Coturnix japonica: one gene and its partners. The protein of the gene in region 1 interacts with the protein of each later gene in a pairwise test. Links are inferred from orthologs where the notes say so. Each region holds a gene or a part of one and is shown on either strand. Other genes may lie near its edges. The genes, in order: SH3GLB1, SYNGR3 and TPD52L2.

Region 1 (3,746 bases):
AGGTCCAAGGCAACAATTTCCTCTCTGATAGGTGAAGCTCGTGGGCAGCTATAGAGTTCAATGTTCAAGATCCAGCTGCATTTTGTTCTGGTCTGAGCTGAGCCATGCCAACTGTTATGAATTCCAGATTATACACAGTGTTCAACCTAGACTTCCCTGGGGTACATCTCCCTGAGGTGGTGCTTCTGCCTCAGTATCAGGCACTGCTGCTCTCTGCTGTTTGGCACCTTGTGGAACATCTCCACCACTGCAACTGCTGACAACACCAACGAAAGATCTGGAATTCAATAACTGCCTTTGTATCTCCACATTTTAAATCTGTAGCGCTGTGTCATCTCTTTGAAGAACAGAGACTCACTAGAGCTTATTATGCCAGTATACCTTGGAAACATGTTTGCCACAAAGTTTTTACATATAAACAGTTCCACAAGTGCGTGTCTGTTATGTAAGTGACACAAGAGCTAACACACACACAGCAGCATTCAGGCCCTCTCCTTAACAATACTTTTGCACAGCTTGGGCAATGTTTGGGTTTTAGTTCCTGGAATTTGACCAGCACGTAAGAAAGATTGTGTTGATCCTTCCAGTTATTTCCTTGTTCTGGAGCTCACTTCCTGCCGTCATACCCTGGGATTTCCTCCAGCCTTAAACAGACACGGCCCAGGGTTACTTGCTGTGTGGGTTGTGTGGTCAGTGACCCGACTGAGGGACCAGGATCACTTCTAAGGTGGCAATCTTAACCCATTGCTACAAGAACAACGCATTGTGAATCTGCTTCCTAACAGCCCACATCAAAGCTCTCCCTTCTTGGGCCATGATGAGGGACAGCAGCCCGTCCCCTCCCTCACGGCGGCTCGAGGCGACCATCCGCCGTCACTCGCGCTGCCGATCCGGGCCCTGCGCCTGACGCCGCGGCCGCGTCCAATCGGTGGCTGCGTCGGGCCCCGGCACCGCCCCCCGGCGGATCCCCACAGGGACGGGCCGGAGCGGCCGTCGCCGCTGCGGGTGTCGGGGCTGAGTCAGCGCCCTCCCGCCCCCGCCGAAGATGAATATCATGGACTTTAACATGAAGAAACTGGCGGCCGACGCGGGCACTTTTCTCAGCCGCGCCGTGCAGGTACGGCCGCGACCGAGCTTCGACGCGGCGGCCCCGGCTGTCGGGAAGCGGGCGAGGCCGCGGGCCGGTCCTTGAGGCCGGTCCTTGAGGCCGCCGTGGGTCGGCCCGGCGCGGGGCGTTGGCCGGGGATCGCGGTTCCGCCCCGGGCAGGCTGTGCGCGCCGCGGGCAGTGCCAGGCCGCGCTGCCTGGGGACCAGCGGTGCCCCCGCGCCCCCCTGTGCCCGGTCGGCCATCTGACCGTCTGTCTGTCTGTCTGACAGTCTGTCTGACCGTCTGTCTGTGTGTCTGGGTCCGGGCGTTTTTCCGCGGCCCGTTGCACAACAGCTGGGCTCGGCGGGCGGGGCAGCGCAAGGTCAGCGTAGGCCGAGAGCGGAGGGGGCGGCCGGGCTGGGCAGCGGCAGCTGGGGGGAAGATGGGGCTGCTCCTGCTGTTAGAGCAGAACAAAGGTGTGACTCCTGTGGAGGAAGCCGGTGTCTTCACTGGCCGCTCTGAACGCGTCCTGCTGCCCGACCGGTGGAACTTGAGCTCTGACGTGACACGTGAAAGCATCTGTCTGCTTTAGTGTTGTTTTGTTCGCTGCCGTGGTGTCGCTTTTAGACTCGTTTGTCGGCCCGTTGTTTCTCGATCTGTCTTTTCCCTTATGTTAAGGGAGCTGTAATTGGCTTTTGTTCCTCTGCCGTTATCTTGAGGTGTAATCCTCTTTCTTTATATAATCAAACCTGAACAGATTTCCTGTAGGGAGGTGGGTATCCAAAACGGAGCACAGCAATTCGCAGTCATTTCTTGTGCTCTCTCCTTGGGTCAGGTTTGGAACATGACTGAAGTGGTTATCTGCTCAGATCAGCTCAACTATTGGCCTGTATCTCAATATTCAAGCAGAACCAGCGATCAGTGTTACAGCAGAGCAACAAAGATGCAAACTCATCAGAAAACATTGTTGCTTAAACTTAAATTACCTTCACATAGTAATTGTGGCTTTTCTGTGCATTGGAGGTCTTTCCAAGTGCATTTGTTGGGTTTGTTTTTTTGTTTGTTTGTTTGGTTTTTGTTTGTTTGTTTTTCTGGCTTCTTTCAGGGCTGTATGTTTCTCAGACCATCTATTTCTTTCCAGCTTTAGCTTTTCTTGCAAGACAAGGGGGAGGGGAAGGGGGGAAGGAGATGCAGCTCACCCTTCATTGTAAGATCCTGTGGTAGGATCTTTTGACTTTTATCTTTTATCTTGACTTTTTCCATGTAAATGCTTTTTTGTGTGTTAAATGTAATGTAGGCTTTCCATCATGGCCTAAAGGTGGTATAAACTGTGGTTTGCTCCAGTATGATCTGTCTGTGTTACTAGTTTAGATCTGAATAGCTCCATTGATAGGCTTCTTCATCTGAACTGAAATTAATGGGGATAATAGTAATAGGCTCTACCGACTGCCACCTCCTCCTAAAATAAGATGTTTGAGGAGGAGAGTTGTATATGTATGTATGGTGTTGTATACAAAAGAGTACTATTTCCTTCATCGTGATCTGGGCACATTCAAGCAAGCTGTGGAAACAGGTGGGAAATCAGAGGGGCAGCACTGATGCGTTTTATTGGTGCTGGAAGCCATATTTCTGTCAAACTGTTCTTTGCCATGTTGCTCTGTATTTTTAATCTTTTTTTCCTCCAAGTGGGTACATGAAGTCTACCATGCACTAAGCTGTCTCCACACTATGGAGAAGAGTTTTGGAAATATTAATTGGAATTGTCATTTCATAAACGAATACAATGCTACGTAACTAGACAAGAATCAAAGCTGTTTTTCTTGTCTGTTAATGAATCTTAAAAAGCTTTTGAGAGCTATTTGCAGTACATATTATTGTTTTAAAGAGCCTTTTAAACAATAGTAGTAGCAGGTCCATAAATTCTATGTCTTCCTATACTGTGATTGAGCTTTTTCACAAAGGTGCCTAGATAAATACTAGTATTTATATAGATAAATAGTATTTATCTAGCCTTCAGATGTGTGTGCTATCAAAGTTGTTTTTATTCTAAACTTGGACAACTCAGTTTTATTTGTATTGTATTCTTGTTTTTTATTGTAAGTTTAAGTATTCCAACTAAGAGCTTGTTAAGAATGATTTTGATAGTTGGAATCCTTTGGTGCTCTTCCATTCTTAATTGGTAAGCTCGTTAGGGATGTAGTTCTTAACCAAGTATTTCTGAATATGCCTGACTTTGAACAGGCTGTGAAGGGATGAGGTCATCCTGAGGAACCAATTGTTTGAAGAGAGGCAGGCCAAACCCTTAGTTCCAGTTTTGTTTTGTTTCCTGACATAAAACACATCTTCTGTCTTTCCTGGAGACCTTATAGTGAATTTCAAACTGGTTATGAATTAGTAAGTGTTGGCATAAATTTAATGTCAAGTGAAATTATGTTGTCTTGAAGTGATTAATACACTTCTCCCCTGTTTTGCTGGTAGTGAAGGTGTGTTGTTGAACTTAATCTAAGGTTAAATCTGTAAGTTTTCTTAAGGATGTCTGGATAATATCATGTGAAAGTAATGTGAGTAAACAGTTGCTGTCCTAGACTTGCACTTGGAAACTATTTCCGTGAGCTGAGTATTTTCAATCTGTCTGACTATCCACAGTTCACAGAAGAAA
Region 2 (3,746 bases), on another chromosome or scaffold:
GCAACAGCACAGGTCCCCCTACAGGGACAGCGAGCTGCATGGATCTGGGGGGAGGTGGTGATGGAGCACCTGCAGCCCCCAGCTTTGCCTGCAGGCCTGCTCAGTGCCAGCCGTGCATGCGTACTGCTCCCTGCGCCTTCCCTGCAGTTCCTGTCCGAAGCAGAGATGATGTCAGAGTTGTCATGGTATCGGTATCTATGGAACCAGGATCATCGTCACGGTGCTACGAAAGCTAAGGAGCCAGGTCCTGGAGCTGTGGGGGGAAACTCCCTTTGTAATAATTGAGGGTTTCCCTCTGCAGGCTTTCTGTCCTTTCTATCCTTCGTCTTTTCCCTGGGGAAGGGATGGGTCTTGGCCTCATCCTGTCCCATGACTCTGGTTGTTTCCCTTCCCACTCAAGCAAAGTGGGAGCTCCATCTGTCTTTGCTTCCTACCACTTTGCACCAGGTCTGTGTGGTGATGTGGCCCCATTTGTGCTTGAGGTCACAGCACCTCTGCTCCAGCAGCATGGGTTGCCCTGGCTATACACCTCAATTTGGTGTGGTGGCCGTAGCTGTAGTAAGGTGTCCCAGCTGCAATGTGGTTGCTTCTGCAGGCTGGCCGTGTTCCGAGAGGTGACCTCAGCCACAGCACAGTGACTGCAGCTGCACCATGGGGACTCCAGCAGCAGCAACACATGTTCCACAGCTATAGCACTGCTGCTCAGTAATGATGGTTGCAGCACAATGTCCCAAGTTACAGCATAGTGTCCCATTGTAGTGTTTTCATCATGGCTGTAGCACGGTGCCCATGGCTGCAGCATGGCCATTGCGTGGTGTTCCTGGCTATAACATGGTGTTCACAGTCATTGCATAGTGCTCGTGGTCATTGCATGGTATCCCTGGCTGTAGCATCACACTTACAGTCATCGCATGGTGTCTCTTGACTGTGGTATGATGTTTTTGGTCATTGCATGGTGCCAATTGCTATTGCATGGTATCCCTGGCTGTATCATGATGCTCATGGCCATTGCACGATGTCCCTGGCTGTATCATGATGCTCATGACCATTGCATGTTGTCCCTGTCTGTATCATGATGCTCATGGCCATTGCATGGTGTCCTTGGCTGTGGCATGATGCTCATGGCCATTGCATGGTATCCCTGTCTGTATCATGATGCTCATGGCCATTGCATGATGTCTCTGGCTGTATCATGATGCTCATGGCCATTGCATGCTGTCCCTGTCTGTATCATGATGCTCATGGCCATCTCGTGCTGTCTGTGGTCATTGCACGGTGTTCCCGTTTGCAGCACGTTGTCCGTGGCCATGGCACTCAGTGCCAGCACGGCGCAGTGATCTCGACCTCCCCCGATGTGAGGTGGTCTCGTTGCGGTTCTCATCACTCCGGTCTCGTTCACCTGCCGCTGCCCCCCCCCACGCCGCGGGTGGTTCTTCCCTCTGCCCGCGCGCGGCGCTGCGGACGAACCCACGCGAAAGGCTCGCGGGGGGGTGGGCGGACAGGCGCGCGGCCGGCGCGGGGAGCGCGCACGGCTCGGCTCGGCTCGGAGCGGCGCTGGAGCGGAGCGGGCGGTGGGGGAAGATGGAAGGATCGTCCTTCGGAGCGGGCCGGGCCGGCGGTGCCGTCGATCCTGTGGATTTCCTTAAGCAGCCGCAAACCATCCTCCGGGCGACGGCTTGGGTGGGTAAGGCGAGGCGGGCAGCGTGCGGTGACCGGGCACAGAGCGATGCCCGTGCGGTCTGCGGTACCCGGGTATTGTGCACGCTTATGCGGTGTGCGGTGGCCGTGCGGTGTGCAGCCGGCAGCGCTTTGGTTGCTGGCTCCCGTGGGAAGTTCCGTGGGGACGGGCACGGTGCAGCGGGTGGATGATGCCGTAGCCCTGCAGTGCTTTTATCCCTGGTGCTTGAGTGTGAGAGAGCAGGGTGCAGCACAGAAGCAGAGGACATTTTCTTCCCATCCATACTCTCTGTGTGCATGTGTGAGAGAGAAGAAATCTTACAGCCAGCCCTGGCTCCCCCCTGTTCATCCAGATGGATGTCATATTTGCTGGTCCTTTCTCATATGTGAGTTCTGCTGTGCAGTAAGGAACAAGAGGTGGGATCTGTGCTGCAGCCACTCGGTGAAGTCTTTACCCGTTGCTGCTCTCATGAATAAGCAGCCAGAGAGCTGTGCTGCCAGGCTGCAGTGTCCAGCTCTCGCCTGCTACGATTAGCAAGCATGCATGGCCAAGGGAGCTCTGCAATGCCCCAAACCCCAAGTGTGGAGTCTCAACCCTGCTGCTGCAGGCTCTGGTTCTCAGAGCTGGGCCCTGGGGGCTCATCCTCACTTGTGCATGGGGGCCATGGCTGCTGGCTCTGTGTCACCTTCAGCAGTGCCACATGCATGCAGGAAGGGGAGGTTTGAGGGAAGGGGCTGCCCCTCTAGCTGCTGTCAGGCAGTGTGCAAGGGGACCCTGGGGTGACTGAACAACATAACATGGGAACATGCACTTATCTTCAAGCACATGAGCAGTTCCAGCTGCAATCACATGCTCGAAGTTCAGCCACATGCTTAATTGTTTGGCTGGATTGGAGCCAGTCAACCTGCCAGGGCTTTCAGAAAGCCCTTAGCTCCATTAGTGAAGGAAAGTGAAGATTATGGATATGGAGCATCCTGGTGTGGGGTGGCATTTGTGAGGCTCCTGCTGGCAGGCGTTTCCTAGAAGCATCATTTCAATCTGGAGGACTTGGTTGGGACCCAGTGGAATCCTCCACATGGCAAACCATTGGCAACGTGTTGGTTTGGGCATGGTCAGATAAATCAGTGGCCAACAGGTGTTGAGTTGGATTCCCTTTAAAAAGATCTGCCAGCACCCAGCCAGAGAGCTCACCCTCCTTGGACTAGGGGGCAATAGGAACAGCATATGGGAGATGAATTAAAAATCCCAGCTTAGAAGATATTTGTTGGCTGTTCAGTAGAGAAGTCATTCATTTTGTGGGTCTGAGTTCAGAAAACTGGGCATGTACAACAACAGAATGGATCAATTCTAAGCAGGTGGAGGGGTCCATTGGCTTTCACGAACATGACATGCACACGGTTTGCAGCGCACTGTCAGATTCAGTAAGGCCTAGAAAGTACATGCTGAAACCATGTGGATGTTTCCCTTGCCTCACATGTGCTGGAAGATGCTGTGGACCCACTCCCTTGCAGATGCAGCACAGGGGTGTGGAGTCCCCATGCTGTGATGCTGTGACCCAGCTGTTTGCCACTGGCTGCTCTCCAGCATGAGCAGGGATGTGGCTGGTGTGAGCTGGGCATTTGGGGCCAGTTCCGTTCTGCCTGATGCATGGCCACTGTTCTTGCAGCTTTTGCAAAGCAAAGTGTGCCAAGGCTCTTTTTAGCTTTAGTGCTCGTGCCAGATCAAACCCACGGCCTGTTTTAAGATGGAGAGCTTGGACGGAGGCGGCAGGCGATGCACTACAAAGCAGCATCTGTCTAAGATCTTGCTGCCTTTCTGTTCCACCCTGATGCTTCCCTTTGCCAGGCTGGGATGTGCAGCACAGCCCCACAGCCACTACAGCGCTTCCATTACTTGCTTTGTAATGCCCACCTTTGCTGGCCTGCCCATAACCACAGCCTGTGGGCTTGTTCAGAAACCCCTTGAGCTGGGTGTAGGTGTTGGGGCATCTTTTTTCATGTGATTCCCCTTCCTGTTGCTTGTTGTCACATCTTTTTAAGCACATTTAACCTGTGTTGTAGGAGCAAAC
Region 3 (3,746 bases), on another chromosome or scaffold:
GCACGGCACGGCTGGAACGGAGAAGGGGTGGGGGACTGCACGCACCGGGCAGGAGTTCCCCACGGCCGAGGGGATTCGGGTAGGGCTGTATGTGCACCATCCCTGGAGGTGCCCAAAGCCACGGCTGCCCTGTGCCAAACTGTGCCATGACATGCTGATACGTGCAAAGGTTTGCCGTGCCAAGCAGTGCCATACCAAGCTGTGCCATGCCATGCTGATGTGTGGAAAGCTGAGCCATGCTGTGCAATGCCAAGCTGTGCCATGCCTAGCAATGCCAAGCAATGCCAAGGGGTGCCATGCCATGCTGATGTGTGCCAAGGGGTGCCATGCCAAGCTGTGCCATGCCTTGCTGATGTGTGCCAAGCTTTGCCAGGCCTAGCAATGCCAAGGTGTGCCATGACATGTTGATTTGTGCCAAGGTTTGCCATTCAATTCAGATCTGTACCATGCTGTGCCATGCCATGCTGATCTGTGCCAATCCGAGCTACCCAGGGCTTCTGTAGTCCCTGGCTGAGGGCTTCCCCAAGTGACACCACAACGCACACTATCACTGCTGGGGCGTTTCGGCTCCAAACCCACCATCAGCCCCTTCATCCCCACAGCCAATAAAAGCAGAATGTGAAGAGCTGTGTGCTGCACGGAGTGCTGGCTGTGTGCTGTCCCTGTTATCGCTTCCCTATTTCACAGCCACTCACAGCAGGCAGGCTGCTCCCTGCAGAAAGCCCCATAGTGGGGTTGAGAAGCATCCACAGAATCACAGAATGACCCGGGTTGAAAGTGACCTCAAGGATCATGTAGTTCCAACCCCCCTGCCTGGCAGGGCCACCAAACATACACCTTTACTAGATCAGGTTGCCCAGGAGACCCCATAGAACCCCATAGAGACCCCATAGACCCCATAGATCCCCATAGAGACCCCATAGACCCCATAGATCAGGTTGCCCAGGGCCCCGTCCAACCTGGCCTTGAACACCTCCAAGGACGGGGCATCCACAACCTCCCTGTGCAGCCTGTTCCAGGCCCTGACCACTCTCCTAGTGAAGAACTTCCCCCTAACATCCAACCTATCCAGAGATGTGACCCCGTGTTTAATTGGTTCAAAGGGGCTGAGGGGCACTGGAGTGACAGCGGCAGGGCCCAAGGAATGGCGTGGAGCCACAGGAGCTCGGGTTGGGGTTAGGGCCGGGCCGCACCAGGCCAAGGCCAGGCCATCCCAATGCCGTGCCGCTGCTGCCCCCTTCCCTCCAGCCTCCCGTACAGCACAGCACCGCTCCGAGCCCTCCGCCCCCATGACGTCACTTCACCCCCGCCCCCATGACGTCATGTCACCTCCTCCTCGATGACGTCACACTGTCGGAAGGCGTAGGCCGCGGCGAGGCGCTGCAGCCATATTGATGCGATACGTGACGTCATCTACCTGCGCATTCCCTCCCGGAAGAAGGAGGGCGTCGCGGGGTGATTGCGTCACAGGGGTGGAGGCGGTGGCTGAACGGGGCCGAAGCGCCGCCATGGAGAGTGCGAGTCAGGGTAGGGATGGATGGACGGGCTGCGGGGTCGGGGGACGAGAGGAGGGACGGGGGGTTCTTGGAGGACAGGGGGAGCTCCGTGAGGGGCAGGAGGTGGGACCTCGGCTGTGGGGGGCAGGAGGTGAGGGCTCAGTGTGAGGGGCAGGTTGTGAGGCCTCAGCTGTGAGGTCCCCCCTATGAGGCCCCCCCGGGCTGGTGCTGAGGTGCTGCTGTTCCCTCCCTCAGGCCTCGCTATTTTCTGTTCAACGTTGGCTTGGGAAATTCAGCTGAGGGTTTTTGTTCCTTTTTCCTGTGAGCAAAGGGTCCTTTTCTTCACTTTTCCCCTCTGGGTTTTGCATATCGTGTTTCGTTTGTTGGCTGTTTGCTATATGTGCTCTGTGCTTCTTGTTTTGACAGATATCAGCCTTAACTCTCCCAACAAAGGGCTGCTGTCCGATGCCATGATGGATGTTCCCGTGGATAACGCGGCTGCTGCGAGGACGGCAGCGCCCGAGGGACTGAGTGCTGCTGAGGAGGAGGAGCTGAGGGCTGAGATCGCCAAGGTAAAACTACTCCTGAATCACACAGAATGACCCGGGTTGGAAGGGACCTCAAGGATCATGTAGTTCCAACCCCCCTGCCTGGCAGGGCCACCAAACATACACCTTTACTAGATGATGGGAGGGAAAAAACGAGGGTTTGGTGGGTGCTGTAGGAGCAGGGTGTGCTGGCAGGTATTTCAGACCGTGTGTGTTATTGCCTGATCATCCACAGAACTGCTTCATGTGGAGCCTTAAAGAAATAAGTGGCTTAATCAAGGCTTTTAGCTCTGCTCCAAGCAGGAAAACACCACTTTAGGTGAGCTGTATGCAAACATAGCTCCTTTCTCCTTAGGAAGCTGAAACAATGAGGTACTTAATGTGCTTTCATCATCAGCCTTTTCTCTTAAATATTTATCACGTTTCATAGGCGGCTCTTTTAGCTCCATTTATGCTTTTCCAAAGCTGAGAGCCTGTAATGTCATACCTCAAATTTTAGGCGCCCTCTGGGCTTTAAAGTTCAGTTTATAATTTGTATGTGTAATGTAGCTGATGGTAGTGTTGATTGTTCTTTCTTATACTTGATAATCTCATGCTGGTTCTCTCACTTGCATGTTTTGGCAAGGGAGGACTTTGCTGTTCTGAGTGGCTGTTCAGGTCTTGGTAAACTGTGATTAATTAAGTAGGAATGAATTCTCTTTGCCCTGAAACCACTCCAGAGTAAGAAAGATCTCTGAGCTCTTTGTTCTAATGACAGCAGAAGAAAACAATCATAAGATTGAATCCTTAGCTAAAAGAGCTTTTGGTAATTGATTTACTTTTTTAGATGGGTCTACTGTTGAAATTACAGTGTGGGGAATGAGTTCTTTTAGTGCTATTAAAACACTGGTCCAGGGGCTTTTTATACATTCCCAGAATCTTAGCAAACCGTGATATTGAGATCCGCATCTGTCTCTTTCTAAGGTGGAAGAAGAAATTGGTACTCTCAGACAAGTTCTGGCTGCTAAAGAGAGGCACTGTGGAGAGCTGAAGAGGAAGCTAGGTTTGACTCCCTTGGATGGGTTGAAGCAAAACCTGTCTAAGAGCTGGCATGACGTACAAGTCTCCAACGCGTAAGTGTTGCTTGTTATGTGTGTTTCACATGAAATAGTGACTGTAGCATTTATTTCCCTTTAGCACATCCCAGAGCTTTTCCAACTGGCTGGAGGGTTTTGCTCTGATAAGTATGTAGAGTAAAAGATGTTTCTAAAATGCAATGAATTGAATGGATGCCATGTGTCAGCATAAACAGCTTTCATATCAGTGGTATGAATGCATCATTGCTGGATGCTCCCTTGCTCGATGTTAAAGACCTTGATCACTAGTTAACAGTTCATTTTGTCTGTTTCTGCCCATTTCTTTGAGACACAGACTGCTGCTACCTCATTCTGAGCCCAAGCTCAAAGAGAAGTGAAAAAAATGCTGGAGTTCACTTAGTAGTGCATAGTGTTAGTTGAGAATGCTATCTGTAGCATTAGTCTGCTAGGAATGTCATATGCAGAGATATCTGTGCCTAAAGAAGGTTTGAAATGAAAACTACACAGGTACAAAGCGTATGGTTGCTGCACTGTTTGACAGTGTCAAAAGGAGAGTCGGGGTAAATCTGAGCACAGCTGCCAAATGTAAAGGGCCCTTGGGGTACCCAGAGGGATATAATTCAGTC

The links.
Region 2: the proteins of SH3GLB1 (region 1) and SYNGR3 interact in binary tests that used the Homo sapiens proteins (3 or more experiments, as listed by UniProt). The link is inferred for Coturnix japonica from reciprocal best matches to the Homo sapiens genes SH3GLB1 and SYNGR3.
Region 3: the proteins of SH3GLB1 (region 1) and TPD52L2 interact in binary tests that used the Homo sapiens proteins (3 or more experiments, as listed by UniProt). The two-hybrid records come from large-scale screens. The link is inferred for Coturnix japonica from reciprocal best matches to the Homo sapiens genes SH3GLB1 and TPD52L2.

What each region holds. Positions count from the first base shown.
Region 1 is NC_029523.1:13,928,769-13,932,514, reverse strand, and holds the start of SH3GLB1 (endophilin-B1), read left to right. Parts: upstream 1-843; 5' UTR 844-1,045; coding exon 1,046-1,117; intron 1,118-1,447; exon of another isoform or gene 1,448-1,469; intron 1,470-1,541; exon of another isoform or gene 1,542-1,563; intron 1,564-2,564; exon of another isoform or gene 2,565-2,579; coding exon of another isoform or gene 2,580-2,660; intron 2,661-3,733; coding exon 3,734-3,746. UniProt on the Homo sapiens protein: May be required for normal outer mitochondrial membrane dynamics. Required for coatomer-mediated retrograde transport in certain cells. May recruit other proteins to membranes with high curvature. May promote membrane fusion.
Region 2 is NC_029529.1:6,135,696-6,139,441, forward strand, and holds the start of SYNGR3 (synaptogyrin-3), read left to right. Parts: upstream 1-1,366; 5' UTR 1,367-1,581; coding exon 1,582-1,680; intron 1,681-3,746. UniProt on the Homo sapiens protein: May play a role in regulated exocytosis. May indirectly regulate the activity of the plasma membrane dopamine transporter SLC6A3 and thereby regulate dopamine transport back from the synaptic cleft into the presynaptic terminal.
Region 3 is NC_029535.1:8,588,829-8,592,574, reverse strand, and holds the start of TPD52L2 (tumor protein D54), read left to right. Parts: upstream 1-1,397; 5' UTR 1,398-1,508; coding exon 1,509-1,527; intron 1,528-1,922; coding exon 1,923-2,068; intron 2,069-3,007; coding exon 3,008-3,156; intron 3,157-3,746.